2 linked regions of the Arabidopsis thaliana genome follow. The protein of the gene in region 1 interacts with the protein of each later gene in a pairwise test. Each region holds a gene or a part of one and is shown on either strand. Other genes may lie near its edges.

Region 1 (8,469 bases):
ATAAAGAATCTTTAGTTCTCCACGGTTTGGTTCTTTTTTGGATTAACTGAATGAACGATTTTGAAACCTCAAATGTTAAGGAAGGCGTTGTTGAAGCGGGTTCACGCAGAGTGACTGAAGAAACCGTTCCAGTGCCTGACATTATACAAAGAGCCCGAGGTCTTTTTTGTGAAAAAGACAAAACTTTCGAAACAATATCCTGCAAGAAAAATAAAAGGAAATTGAAACAATGAAAAGCTGCATAACTCATTAAGATTGATAGGAGTTTTTAGAGATTACTTCTCCTGATCCAACACTGATCACATGAGGTGCAAAAGCAAGTCCAGCTGATGTATTCATCCACTCACCTAAGGTAATTAACAGAGTTAAATGACCATTTACTTATCTCAACACAAATGGATCAGTCAAATTACTCTCATAGTTAATACCTAACAACCGATGTTGAGTAGCAGTAACAACAGAGCCAAATCAATACTAATTTGACCATAAAATCATTAAGCTTCTAGCAACCAAAATCTACCTAATCATAAGACCCCAGCTCGTGTTCTTCACAATGTACATAGAAGAAAGTTGTGCCAAAGCTTACAAATTGTGTCCATAAATCAAGAAGTCAAATATCGAGTTGACTACCACATTCTAATGACCAATTACTCATCTCAACTGGCATTGTACCCACACATGGATCAGTCAATTTAATACCTAACAATCAATGTTGAGTAACAGTAACAGTAAGGCTAAAGCAACAAAAACCTAAAATAACCATAGAATCATACATAGCTTCTACCATTCAAACTTTCATCTAATCATAAGATCCTTCAAGGGTTAGCCAACAGAGCTAAAACAACAACTTAACTTAATCAAGTACACAGAAAAAACTTGAGATCTCACCAAGATTAGCCAAGCGTTGCTTCCTTCCAGTTCCGGGAGGTCGACCTCTGGCTCTTTTAGGTGCATTAGGATCAGACATTGAAGAAGAGTCCTTAGACTTTTTACTAACACAAGGCATTGGAGAAAGCCCCAATGAAACTTGTCCATCAGGAACATACTTTCTTGGCCTTCCACGTTTCTTCTTAACCATCGGTTGCTCCGACGGTGGAGGCGGCAGCTGCAGAGTAGGCTGCACCGCAGCAGGAGAAGCCATCCCCATGTGAATGCTGTGTCCGAAATCAGAATGCCTGTGCTCAGCCATGGAGAAAGGAGGTCCTGGATTGCTAGCCTGAGGGTGGTGAATGTTAGGGTTTGACATTGGCCTCATTCCCGGAGGTGGCGGCGGCGCGTGAAGACCACTCGCGACCTGGGAAGGTGTAAGATTGGTAAAAACTCCTCTCTGAAGATAGAACTGAGAATGCGAGCCTGGAAATGCCATAGCTTCTCTCCCATCCATGCATTTAAAACCCTAAATTACAATTCTTTAAGAATCTAAGAGATTTTTTAAAAAAGGAAACTTTTTTGAAGAACAAATTTATCTACCACCCAGAAATCGTAAACCCTAATAACCCAAAGAGTGAAAAGAACAACAATGGCGGCTTTTATATACCCAGTAATCAAAGTCGGGTTATTTTCAGCTGTGAGCTTAAGATCCAAACTGTTTTTATGAAACCTAGAAAAGAAAAAGAAGCTAAATGTTGAGTTCACTTAGAACTCAAAAAGAAAGTAAAATTGCAGATTTGAAATGAAGACAACAAGCAAAAGTAGCTACTACTACTGTTACAGTCTCTCTGGTAGAGAAAGCAAATCTCAGAAAAAAAAAAGGAAAGAAAAAAAAAGAAGAGAAAGGAAGTGAAGACCATTGTTTCTATTTATATACTATTTCTTTAATTAATTTTGTCAAAAAAAAATATTCAATTGGTTTACAAAAAAAATAAATTGGGTTGTTTAAGAATTTTTTTTATTAAAAAGGATATAGACTTTCTTCAATGGTTTATAACAAAATCTAATGTCTCATTAGATTTCTGACTGAAAAAGAAATTTAAGTCAATTTGAGGATATATATTCATTAATATTTAATGCTTTTCATGTATAAATTATGAGCTTGTCATCTTCCTATAAATTAAGGATCCTAAATCTTGTGTGTGTTGAATTACACATTGTCTACCAAATAAGAGGAATCAAGTTTACTAAATATGTTAAAGAACCTGAAAGAAAAATAGTGAACTAGTAAAGAAACCAAGTTCTTGATGACCACAATGAGATCATAAAAGAGTTAAAAAAATCTCCTAAAATAGCATGAAAGTGGGAGGGTTCTGTTACATTAACAATGTTAGAAGGAGCTGAGAGATCTAGTATCAATCCTTAAATGTCTGATTTCAACATTCCCAGAGAGAAATCTACAATAACATATGTACAGCAATCACATTTTGTATGCTGCTGCTTCAAAGACTAATAGTGTATATCATCCACGAGTCAAATCAAAATCAGTGAGTGGGTTTCTGCAAATGTCAAGTGATCTGCCAGAGCCTGAGCCTGAACCGGGCCACCCCCTTATTCCCTGAGAAGAGAAGTTCTGTGGCGTCTGCTGACCCGCAGATGCTGCTGGTTCAGCTGCACTACCCGGTGTGGTCTCCATTTCACTATTGTTGTCCTCTTCATTTGGTTCCTTTTCTTGTCTGATGGTCTTGTTATTGTTATTATGAGTCTTTGCCCTTGCTCCGTATACAAAACTACATGCCACCACCTGAATAACAAACAAGTTTTTCAAACACTACCACATGATATCTTGAAGAGGAAAGAAAGTGACAGCACAAACATATCAAAGGCTAACATTCGTAGTTAGTTTCGCCTCGTTTTAGCTTCACTTTACAACCATTAAGAAGAAGAATTTAATATACCTGAACAAGGTTGGCTGCGATAAGCATGTCAACTCCACCGGCAATAATACTACCATCGGGACGAGAAAGAGAGACACTCAATCCGCCTGTTCGACTTCTGGATCCACCTTCTTCATTCACCAAATAAGATCCACCAAAACTTATAATCTCAAAAGGTCCCTAAGAAACACAGAAAGAGGATTAAATAAGAAATCTTTTCAGGTTTTTCTTTTTCGATTAACTGAATGAACGACTTTGAAACCTCGTATGTTAAGTGACGATCGGTTGAACCGGGTTTGCACAGAGTGACTGAAGAAATGGTTCCAGTGCCTGACATTATACAAAGAGCCCGAGGTCTTTGTTGTGAAAATGACAAAACTTTCGCAGCAATGTCCTGCAAAGAAAAATAAAAGGAAATTGATACAATGAAAAGCTGCATAAATGATCATTAATATATAAAGGAGTTTTGGTCAGTTTACTTCTCCTGCTCCAATGCTGATCACATGAGGTGCAAAAGCAAGTCCAGCTGAAGTATTCATCCACTCACCTAAAGAAATTATCAGAGTCAAGAGTTTGCTATTACTTAAAGTTTGATTAATCACATTATGATGACCAATTACTTAAACATGAATGGATTAGTAAGATTACTCTTTCACAGCTTAAAAACCTAAATCAATAACTTAAATCAAGAAGTCGATTTCGTCCACATCTACTAATAACCAATTACTCCTCTCACCTAGCATTGTACCACACATAGATCCGTCAAACTAATAGCCAACAATCAATATTGAGTATCAGTAACGACAAAGTAACAAAACCTAACTTAACTATAGAATCATTCAAAGCTTCTAGCATCCATAAGATTCAAGCTCATGTCCTTCAAGACTAGCTAACAGAGCTAAAGCAAAAACTTAACTTGACAAAGTACACAGAATAGAAAACTCGAGATCTCACCAAGATTAGCCAAGCGTTGCTTCCTTCCAGTTCCAGGAGGTCGACCTCTGGCCCGTTTAGGTTCATTAGGATCAGACATTGGAGAAGAGTCCCTAGACTTATTACTAACCATCGGTTCTCCATACTTTCTTGGCCGTCCACGTTTCCTCTTAACCATCGGTTCCTCTGGTGGTGGCGGTGGCGGTGGCGGTTGCACATCAGCATCAGAAGCAGAGGAGACCACTCCCATGTGAATGGTGTGTCCAAAATCCGAGAAAGGAGGTCCTGGATTGTTAGCCTGAGGGTGATGAATGTTAGGGTTAGACATTGGCCTCAATCCCGTATGTGGCGGCGGCGCGTGAAGCCCACTCGCGACTTGGGAAGGTGCGAGATTAGTAAAGGCTCCTCTTTGAAGATAGTACTGAGAATGCGAGCCTGGAAATGCCATTGCTTCTCTTCCGTCCATGCATTAAAAACTCCAAAATTACAAGTCTTTAACAGAAATAAGAGATTTTTAAATTGATTAACAAAAAAAGGAAACAAATTTATCTAATCTAATACCCAGAAATCATAAACCCTAATTCCCAAAAGTAGTAAAGAGAACAACAATGGCGGTTTTAAAATTACCCAGTAATCAAAGTCGGGTTATTTATACTGTGAGCTCAAAATCCAATTTGTTCTTATGAACCCTAAAAAAAAAAAGCTAAAATCTGAGTTCACTTATAGAACTCGAAAAAGTACGATTGCAGATTTGAAATTAAGAAAACAGAGGAAAGTAGCTTCTCCTACTGTTACAGTCTTGCAGAGAAAAAAATCAAATCTCCCCCTAAGAGAAAAGCTAGATTTGATTGAGAGAAATCTAGGGTTTCTGAGAAGGAGAACACAATGTATATCAGAGGAGAGACAAAGGAAGAAGACAGATGAGACAATTCAGGGAGAAGAAGAGAAAAAGAGAGAGAGAGAGAGAGAGAGAGAGAGAGAGAGAGAGAGAGAGAGAGAGAGAGAGAGAGAGAGAGAGAGACTAACAGTTTAATGATTCTGATTTATACTTTTAATATTGTGAACTTTTGAATTGAGAGAGGTCTTTCTCTGAAAGTTAGAAGAAAACTAAAGAAGCTGAACGAGAGTGACGACCATTGTTTTTCGTATTTATATATCTCTTTAATTGATTTGTTATTTAATTTTGTGAAAGATAAATTCAATTGAGAGAAAGATTATTATGAAAGATTTAAGCATAGTTTGTTTAAGAATATTTGTTTAAGAATATTTAATGTATTAGTTTGTTTAAGAATATTTAATGTATTAGTTTGTTTAAGAATAGTTTATTTAAAGTATTAGTTTGTTTAAGAATATTTGTTTTTAATAAAAAGGATAGACTTTCTTTGATGATTATTACAAATCTAATATCTCGTTAGATCTTTGACTGAAACCGAAATTTATTAGTCATTGAGAGACAATTATGTGCTTTATTCTCATAAACATTGCTACCAATAAAGATTTAAAAAAAAAATCTTTTCTAACATATTCTAAAGAAAACAGTTGACATTTTAGATTATTATATCATGTAATATATTATTTCTTCTGTGACACACTTTTTCCGTTTTTATATGGAATCATGTTTAGTGGGTAAAATATGTATGCAAAATTTGAAGATAAATTCAATATATATATATGAAAAGTATAATAATGTTTCTAAAGAAACTAAAAAAATAAAGTGAAAATAAAAAGAGAAAAATGTACAAACCTTTTAAAATAATCAAAAATATATTATTCTTGCTAGAAAAAAGAAAAAACTACAACATGATTATTTCAATTTTGGAGCTATTTTAGTGGCTTTACAAACTTTCTACACCTCAACTAATCATGTCTATATATCTTCAATAGTTATCTGTAATTTTTTTTGGTCAACTGCTCTATAATATATTTATAATTTATTTTTAATTAGTATAGATAATTATAAGATTATTTCAAAATATATCTAAAAATTTTAGGTTTTCTTATAAATATATAATCTTGAAATTTCATTCAGTTACACTTTGACAAGAGGCAAGACTAGTATGAAATGACTTCATATCATCTTAATTCAAATTAAGATTTTAAAAGAACAAAAAAAATCAAATCTTGTTGTAAAAAGTTTGATCTTGATTAGAAATATCCAAATATGAGAGAGATGTGTTGTTGACTAAAGGATAGGAAAGAGAATGGGGACACACTTGAATCTCTTCTCTCTCACATGTCTAACTCACTTTGCTATTTCTTTCTTTGCTTCGGACAGTGAGCCCTCTCTCCTAACTTTATTTGTTTTCCATTTTTATATTCCCCTTTTTCTCTTTTACTTTTTATCTAAAATTCTTTTTTTTTATTTTCTTTTAAAAGTTTTGAAAGTGATTTATTAATATATATATATATATATATACGTACATATATTTTGTTTCCACCTAATTTGAAAGTTTGTATGATGCATTTAATATCCGGTGGCTAAAGTACCCGACCAAAAAATCCAAATAGTCAAAATTTGGTGCTAGATATAAATAAAAGTTTTCTAGAGATATATCATATATTATATATTTTGGGTTTAATTAGATTTGTTTTGCTACTCCATTATGAATAATCTTTACATTAATTTGTTTTGTTTAATGTCAACAATATTACATTTGCACACATTTGACTTTTGACAATAAAATAAAGAGTTTTGACTTTCCTTCTTTCACTTTTTGTTTTGCCAACTTTTTACCTAAAGTAATGTGACTTGTCTTTTTTTACTTAGAAATTTCATGATAGGAAAAATTTGAGGCCGACCATTACTGAACTTATACAATATTTTACTTGTTCTTCTTACATAAATAGCTATAAACATACACAAATCAGTCCATTTCATCTACATGTAACATTAATAACTTTAATAAATAAACAAGATATGGACAGTGTGAAATTCACAATAAATGTACTAGATAGATTTTCAAAAATGGAAGAAGAGTGTTGAAGGAAGCTTTCAGCTTGAGGATGGTGTCTCAAAAGGTACAATAAGGCTCTGTTTCTATGAAAGTCCCTTACTTATTACTTCACAACACATATACACACATTATGATACATACATATATAGAGAGATATGATTGTGGGTCTCTGAAACATGATGTCATCAAAAGTGGGTCTCTTTCTGATTCTTGTAAGGAAAGTGATCTCAACTGTTGCTTTTTTATTTTCCTTCTCATGAATTTGTGGGGATTAAGAGATATGATTCTCTTCACACATTGGTGGTCCAACAATAGTTCAAAATTCTAATAGCTGCTGGTAGTTTGATTTTGGTAGAGTTTGTTGAGTTTAAAAAGTGAGAGATATCAACAAATACATACTATAAATCTATAATTGAATAAGAATACAAATTTCAATGGTAAATGTGTTAAACTTGAATAAAACATCAAAGAATGAAACAAGCTTTAAATCTAAGATCTAAGCTAATATCTCCTCTATACATAGTTGTGATTAGAATTTCTTATATTACATAATCATCAAATTCTAGTTATAGATCCACTGATCCAGTTCAAAAAAAAAAAAGATCCAAAAATCTGGCAAATTATTAAGTCCAAAACCTTTTTAATGTGAACTTGTCCATTTTCCAATGGGAAACATTACAAAAAGGTTTGAGAAAACTCATCTAAAATTGAATAAATGAAATTGCTCTATATATCATACCCTCAAGAGATTATTATGTTGGTTTTTAAGTGAAAAACCAGGGAAGAATATGAACCTGAGGACTCCGTTTAGTTGTCCGTTTGATGTGTTTTCGGGTTTTCCACTTTAAGTCATTAACTGCTGCATCAGTCGCGACCATTCTTGTCCGTCTTTGGTTCAGAGACGGTCTCTCTGGCTCTGTTGCTCTGTTAATAGATATCAATCAAACAAATGGGTTCAGAAAAATGGGAGGAAGTGTAGAGTATCTTAACGAATCTGTAAACATTCTCGGTTCAAGCCACTAAGCCTAACAGAAACCACACAATCAGTAGCTTTTGATTGTGACCTAAACTAATGAGTGAAGCAAAAGTATAGAGGTTTCAAGAAAGTATGCTTTTAAAAATCTAAGATCGATGTGAATACAAGTGTGTAGCAATGTGGTTTAGAGTAAGCTTTTATTGCAAAGGAACAAACCTGGCGGGATCGATCTGTGGAGTGGTTTCTGCCAGTGGACAGCAAGCGGAGCAGACATAAGCCTTAGGCCGCCAATGAAGCTTTAAACAATAGGTGTGATACCATTCGCCACATTGACTACAAGAAACCATGGATCTTGAGTTGTATGGCTTTAGACAAATGCAGTGTAACATACTCCGAGCTCGTAAAGACTGCATCAATTTACCATGATACAAACAGTTTTAGATAACAGTAAGGTTATGTGTTAAGCTTTGCTAACATTCATTTCATATTAACCTGAAGTTCCTGCTCTGCATGAACAGGTAAGTTTTCACCCTCAGAAATAAGCTCGAAAACATCTTCCAAGGCAAGAGCACCTGAGTCTGTTACCACCTGCAGATAAAACCAATAGCTCTCGTTTTCATTAAACATTCCATAGAGACTTTACGCGATCAACTGAGAAAACGTGTGTTGGTTATGTACCTTTCTAGCTCGTTTTGCCCACTCCAGTCCAGTGTCTTTTAACTCCATGAGTCTCTTGCCTAAGTAATACTCTTCAGGTAATATTTCAAGTGTTTGTCCCTGTCAATAAGAATGACGAAAC
Region 2 (6,617 bases), on another chromosome or scaffold:
TCTGAGAAAAGTCGGTTTGAGTAGAAGAATCAAGGTTTCGACTACTCTTTCCCTCGGAATTCTCTCTAGATCTTTCCCTCCTTCTGCTGGAGCATTCAACAGCAGCTATGCTTATTTCTTGAGACCAATGTTAGAGTTTCTTGCAGAGAATAAGTCTCCTTTCATGATCGATCTTTATCCGTACTACGCTTACAGAGACTCTCCGAACAATGTGTCTTTGGATTATGTGTTGTTTGAGTCTTCCTCTGAAGTGATTGACCCAAACACGGGTTTGCTTTACAAGAACATGTTTGATGCTCAAGTTGATGCTCTTTATTACGCTCTCACGGCTTTAAACTTCAGGACAATCAAGATTATGGTTACTGAGACTGGATGGCCAACCAAAGGTTCACCGAAGGAGAAAGCTGCTGCGTCTTCTGACAACGCGGAGACATACAATTCAAACATAATCCGTCATGTAGTTACCAACCAAGGCACACCTGCAAAGCCAGGAGAGGCAATGAACGTTTATATATTCTCATTGTTCAACGAGAATCGGAAAGCGGGTTTGGATTCAGAGAGAAACTGGGGATTGTTCTACCCTGACCAGACAAGTGTTTATCAGTTGGATTTCACGGGAAAGAGCAACGGGTTTCACTCTAATTCGAGTGGTACAAACTCAAGTGGGAGTAGTAATAGCTGGTGCATTGCTTCTTCTAAAGCTTCAGAGAGAGATCTGAAAGGTGCTTTGGATTGGGCTTGTGGTCCTGGAAATGTTGATTGCACAGCTATTCAGCCAAGCCAGCCTTGTTTTCAACCAGATACTTTGGTTTCTCATGCTTCTTTCGTGTTCAATAGCTATTTCCAACAGAACAGAGCAACAGACGTTGCTTGCAGCTTTGGAGGAGCTGGTGTTAAAGTCAACAAGGACCCTAGTAAGTAAACAAAATCTCCAGCTTTTGCTTCTCCAAAATCACAAATCAACAGTCTTGATCTTTACCTTAATCTGATTCAATGTCGTTGTTACAGGTTATGACAAATGCATATACATTACTGCAGGAGGGTATGTCATAAAGATAGTTGATTCATATGCAAATTGAAGAACAGTAAATACATATTCTTACTGTTTTGTTAAAATCTTTCTGCAGGAACAAAACCAAGGCGACGAATGCAACTGCATTGACCTCCTCTGCTTCAACTCCACGTGGAAACGAACTACTCCAATGGATTTTGAAACTCTGTCTCATGATCTCGTTGTTCTTCAGTTTGCAAACTATGAATTCACAGGCACTGTAACCGAAATCTGAAAGAAATGTAGCAATAGCAAGAAAAAGCAAAATTTGTTCCTGAATAGTTTGGTCTAGAAATTGTGACACCGTCTAACGATTTTGTCTTTCTTCCTGCAGTGGAATCGTTGTACAGACATTCTATCTGAAAACTTGTCTGATATCAATTGTGTAACCACAGTCTTGTGATCTTAATCATCCTCACTATAATACACAAAAATCTCAATCTGCATAACCAATAATGAACTCTAAAGCTATGGTACCACACTGCCATTCATTAAATATTTCAACTCGACACAAATGTAGACAATACTATATTGTTTTAGAAATAATCATACAACCCCAAGATCCATCACAAGGTAGGTAATACACAGTCGGATTATCGAATAGTTTTTCTCTCACGACACAACTAGAAGATTACATAAAGCAATATGAATATAGTAGCAGCTTAAGTTTCAGAGCCCCGATTCAATCAGGTACTCACCGAGATTCTCCACAACCATATTGCATTGTCCAGGAGTCATTGGTTCATCATAGATACCAAATACCAAAGCTAAGGTGGTCTTCTTGATGGTAACACCACCAGCTCCCTACAATGGAAGCAAAATCAACAACAGTTCATCAAAAATCAAACAATATTCAAACAGTCTAGTTACCTTCTTTCCTCGAATGACGGCATTAGGCTCTCCTTGGATTACCATGTACTTGTTACCACCAAGGAACAATCCTGTTGGGGCAAGTGTTCCAGGTGTAGTAAAATCGTCTTTGATGCCCTGAATTTCCTCAGGCTTCACCTAAAACAACAACAATACAAAAACTATAAGAGAAACAAATTCAGTCTCTCTTAAACATCTCATGAAAGCAACTTAATAACTTATGAACAACATAACCAGTACAAAGAACTTGTCTATTTCCAAAGGTCAAAACTTTCTTCTTAAAAGAGCTTTAAACTTGTGATTCGAACTTCTTCTAATGCATCTTTTGCACTCTATAACCTCAAGAACATATGAATCAGAAAATCAAAACCAAACATTGAAAATTGCTGAATTTTGGTGGTTTAGTAGCTAAACAAAACCAAAGGTTGCAGATTTCAACATAGAACCAAACCAGAAACAGCAAGATGATAAGAATTGAGTAGTCGGTATAGAAATAAACCCTAACCTGAGGAAAATTGTTGCTCTGAGCCCAGACGCTACCGTCTTGGCCGAGAATTGCGGCGGCGGTGAGGCGGTTGCCTGCAACATCGCACATTAAGTGATCGTCGACGTAAGTCTGCCACGACATGTTTGTTTTCTTCTTCTTCTTTACTTTTGCTCTGCTTCTTCTTTGTGGTTTATCGGAATGTTCTAGAGATAGCGTCGAAACTACGAGTGAGTGAGTGTGTGGCAATGGCATTTACGCAAATATATTGTTTTATACATGATTGACACGTGCCAGACACAGCTCTTTTTAATAGTTTCTAAAGAGGAAAATTGTATTAGAAAATCAACCAGTTATAATGAAAAGGGAGGAAATAAATAAAAAAATAGAAAACTTATTTAAGGAAAACCAAAACATTTAATTAAATATGGTCTTTTCCTAAAAAAAAACAAATGTTTCGATTTTCATTATAATTGATTTTTGTTATGAATAAAGATGGATGTCCATTATAAGGCCCTCATCTAAACCCATCATCTAGATGTTTTTAGGGTTTTATCTTTTTTTTGTACTCCTATATAAAGAACCATTTATCTCAATGGAATAACACACTCATTTCTTTTATCTCTTTCTCTGGTTATAACACGTTATCAGCACGTTCTAAAAGGTAGATATAGAGATTCTTACATTTTTTTTAAGAACCATGTTTACTTATCGACTCATGGTTCATAGTACTTATTTTCTATTATTGAAACAAAACAATATGAGCCGATCGATGATTATAGTATAGATCGGTAAAAGCATGTTTTCAATGATTCAATAAAGAAGAGAATAATGCTTATCATTTGTTTCTATAATTACTATCGCATGATTCAATGATTCTACAAAGAAAATCGTTAAAGAAGAGAATCATGCTTGTTAATTGTTAATTTTTGTGATTTACTATTACAATATTGAATATATAAATTACCAATTTTATAATTATATAACTAACTTTGTAACTATTCATAACCCGGTGGTGGGTGATGCAAGCATGTATTAATGTTTTAGCATTCCAGTTTTGAATAGTTGCATCTATATTCAATATCATTTTATAAATATTATATTGTCTAAAATCCATTTATGATTGATATGATATCCCTTATTTAACTCCTTTGATTAAAACGTTATACATATCTTATCACTTTTAGATATTGACTTTTCCATATTAAATATTTGATTTTCATATATTTGATTGTGTTATTATTATTTTTACTAAAAACATTTCAAGATAATTTTTCTTTTTATAAGATTCCATATATCTAAATCTTTGTGTTATTATTATCTAAATCTTTTTATAAGATTTCCATATATTTGATTGTGTTATTATTATTTTTACTAAAAACGTTGCAAGATAATTTTTCTTTTTATAAGATTCTTTTCTCTAAATCTTTGTGGTATCTAAAAAAAAATTGTTCATGGTTTTGTCGTAATTTTGCACGAAATCATTTTACCCAAATCTTGCACGAATTCATATTACCCTAAATAAAAGTTTTGTCAAGATATATGTAAAATCCAGATTTTGCACAAAGTAGTTTTATTCTGATTGGTTTTACAATATTGCATTAAAATTATATTAATATATAATATTTGATTATTTTATGAAATAAATTGATTGATAAATAACTTAATTTAAAGGTATAATCACTTATAGAAATTTTTATGAATGACTATTTTAATGTATCTTAAAAAGATATCATATTTTTGATGGTCAAAGTTTTTTCAAGAACTTAAATTATCACCAGAAATTGAGAAAATAAATATGGTAAAAAAAAAAAAAAATAAGAAAAATTTCTAACGATGAAATAATCTAGTATATCAAGTAGTATAAATCTTATTAAAAGACTCTAGAAGAGCATATACATTGCTTTCTATGGGAATACAAAATTAAAATCATCGATGGGGTATAATTCTCCAAATCTTAAAGTTAATATGATGAGATATAAAATACATTATGATTCTAGAGTGGAATTAAAAACGAGATAGATGAACTTGAAGTTTCATCATTTCGAGGAGGAGAAATAATGAATCTCACATCGATAATAAGTGACATATCCAGAAGATTATGTTCAATCTTTGACTACTAAAGATCTAAAAGTTGTATAAAGCAATTCTTATACGAATGTGTTATCAGATAAAATAAGATATAATTAGTTATTACTGAAACTTCAAGACTTGAAGTCTCTTTGTGAATATAACTCACATTGTTAAGAGAATATCTATGATGCAGAGATGGTAAAACAGACGCTTAAACTTTTACGCAAGTATTGTTGTCCTGTAGACACAATATTTTGAAAGAAATTTTGAGAACTATTATAAACTTAAATCGAGTGTTTTTCAAAGGCTAAGAAAATATATGAGTTATCGATGATAGGTAATACTCATATTCTGAAGTGAATATAAGATCTTACATAGTTAGTCAAATTTAATATCGTTTATACTAGAATATAAAATTTTAATTATTATCTCGTTATTGTTTTATTAACATATGATTGATTATTAAAATACATGGACGTAATTTTGATTATAAGATCTCATTAAGGGAGTAACTGATAAGCAATGAAAAATAAATTAGAAGTTTTGAAAGAACTAGAAGTTTCAAATGAATTAAAAATTTCAAAAGTATATTTATCTTAACCGGATTGGTCATCCTGGTTTAATGATGATGTGAAAGTATTGAGAATTATGTGGACATTAGGTGAAAAACCATAAAATTCTCCCTAATGATTTATCAAATGTTACTTGCTCAAAAAGCAATATGATAATGTGATTTTTACCAGTGTAAGTAATTTGGACTTTATCTATTCGTAAGTATATACAAGGAGATAATTATGGGTTGATCACCCACTATATGACATTTAGATACCTAATGGTTATAAAAGATGCATCGATTCAATGGACGCATTGACTCGATTGTTGCATCGACAAAAAGGTCATATTTATCCTTGTTATAAACCCGCAACATAGAGTTTGCGAGATTACTTTCTTGATTAAAGTACAAGAGTATTTCAGTGTTTATTTATAATAACCATTATTGGATATTCGTTGGGATAAGTGTTTAACATTTTGAAATTCATGTTCATACACAAAATGGTTTAGTAACATCGATACGCATCAAGCCAATGAATAATTAATAGTTTTCCCCATTATTATTGGTTTTGGGTCAGAAACCAAATAGTTTTCATCTAAAAGCTTTGAATGTGAAAAGTGCTCCACCACAGCACGCAGAGATGAACCCTCAAAGGAGGATAAGAATACATGTTGGATATGAATGATAACTAAGCCATCCTAGAAGGATTTATATACCGCTCGTTTTGAAAACTATCATATTATATAGTCAGCTATTCCAACATAAGGGGGAGAATGTATACAGCTGGTGAAAAAGATAAATAGAAATGAATTATCAATGATCCTCGGAGGAAAGAATGTATATTAAGAGTCCAAAAAATAATTCAATTACAGAATTTAGCGTTGTAATTGCCAGACGCATTTGCTGACCTAAATAAAGTGATGAAGTCACCTATACCAGTTATAAATTAAATGCTCCAGAATAGAATGAATGTCCTGTAAGGACCAATTTCAAACTGCTATTGAGTCTTAAGATCACATTAAACATAATAGACCTTGGTTCCAAATAGAAATATCCTCGTAAAAGAGAAGGAGCACAAAATTAAAAATGACCAAATTGAGGAAATAAATATTTTGATGATCTCTCGAAGAGAGTGAATGATCTCTAGAAGACACATAAACATGACAAATGAAACATTCAAGTACTTGACAATGAAGAGATCTAGCTAGCTATGTCATGTCAAAATATAATGGAATCAAAAGCAAATCGACGTCGTAATGTATTTGCATGCTATGAGCAGTTGATATTATGGACAAAAAGGAGGATCATGAAAGAAAGTCTATTGAAAAGTGTACACAAAGTAGTGATTAGCCAAAAATGGAAAAGAAGAAATAGACATATAATTATAATCTCTAGTAGAGATATTTGGACTAGTAGACTATGCACATGATGTGTAAAAACAGTGGAAGATAAATGAGTCTTTATGTGAAAGAATAGTGAAATTAATGAGATTTTCAGAAACATAAGAAATGTATTATGAAGAGATATATTCTCTTGTGGTGGATGTAATATTTTTAAGTATCTAAAGTCTGGCAATAAGAGACGGA

Evidence for each region. Proteins that work in one complex are often made in the same cells at the same time.
Region 2: the proteins of AT1G63480 (region 1) and PRF3 interact in a two-hybrid assay, tested with the Arabidopsis thaliana proteins (one large-scale study listed by BioGRID).

The regions. Positions count from the first base shown.
Region 1 is NC_003070.9:23,537,480-23,545,948, forward strand, and holds AT1G63480 (AT hook motif DNA-binding family protein), read right to left. Parts: upstream 4,755-8,469; 5' UTR 4,207-4,754; coding exon 3,762-4,206; intron 3,355-3,761; coding exon 3,287-3,354; intron 3,202-3,286; coding exon 3,070-3,201; intron 2,988-3,069; coding exon 2,829-2,987; intron 2,675-2,828; coding exon 2,393-2,674; 3' UTR 2,078-2,392; downstream 1-2,077. Other genes in the region: AT1G63470 (AT hook motif DNA-binding family protein), read right to left, coding at 68-199, 280-347, 889-1,384; AT1G63490 (transcription factor jumonji (jmjC) domain-containing protein), read right to left, coding at 7,459-7,618, 7,887-8,077, 8,163-8,258, 8,349-8,447. UniProt on the Arabidopsis thaliana protein: Transcription factor that specifically binds AT-rich DNA sequences related to the nuclear matrix attachment regions (MARs).
Region 2 is NC_003076.8:22,908,162-22,914,778, forward strand, and holds PRF3 (profilin), read right to left. Parts: upstream 2,550-6,617; coding exon 2,427-2,549; intron 2,060-2,426; coding exon 1,922-2,059; coding exon of another isoform or gene 1,856-1,921; coding exon 1,721-1,855; downstream 1-1,720. Other genes in the region: AT5G56590 (O-Glycosyl hydrolases family 17 protein), read left to right, coding at 1-914, 1,009-1,042, 1,128-1,275. UniProt on the Arabidopsis thaliana protein: Binds to actin monomers and regulates the organization of the actin cytoskeleton. Can increase the critical concentration (Cc) of actin assembly in vitro.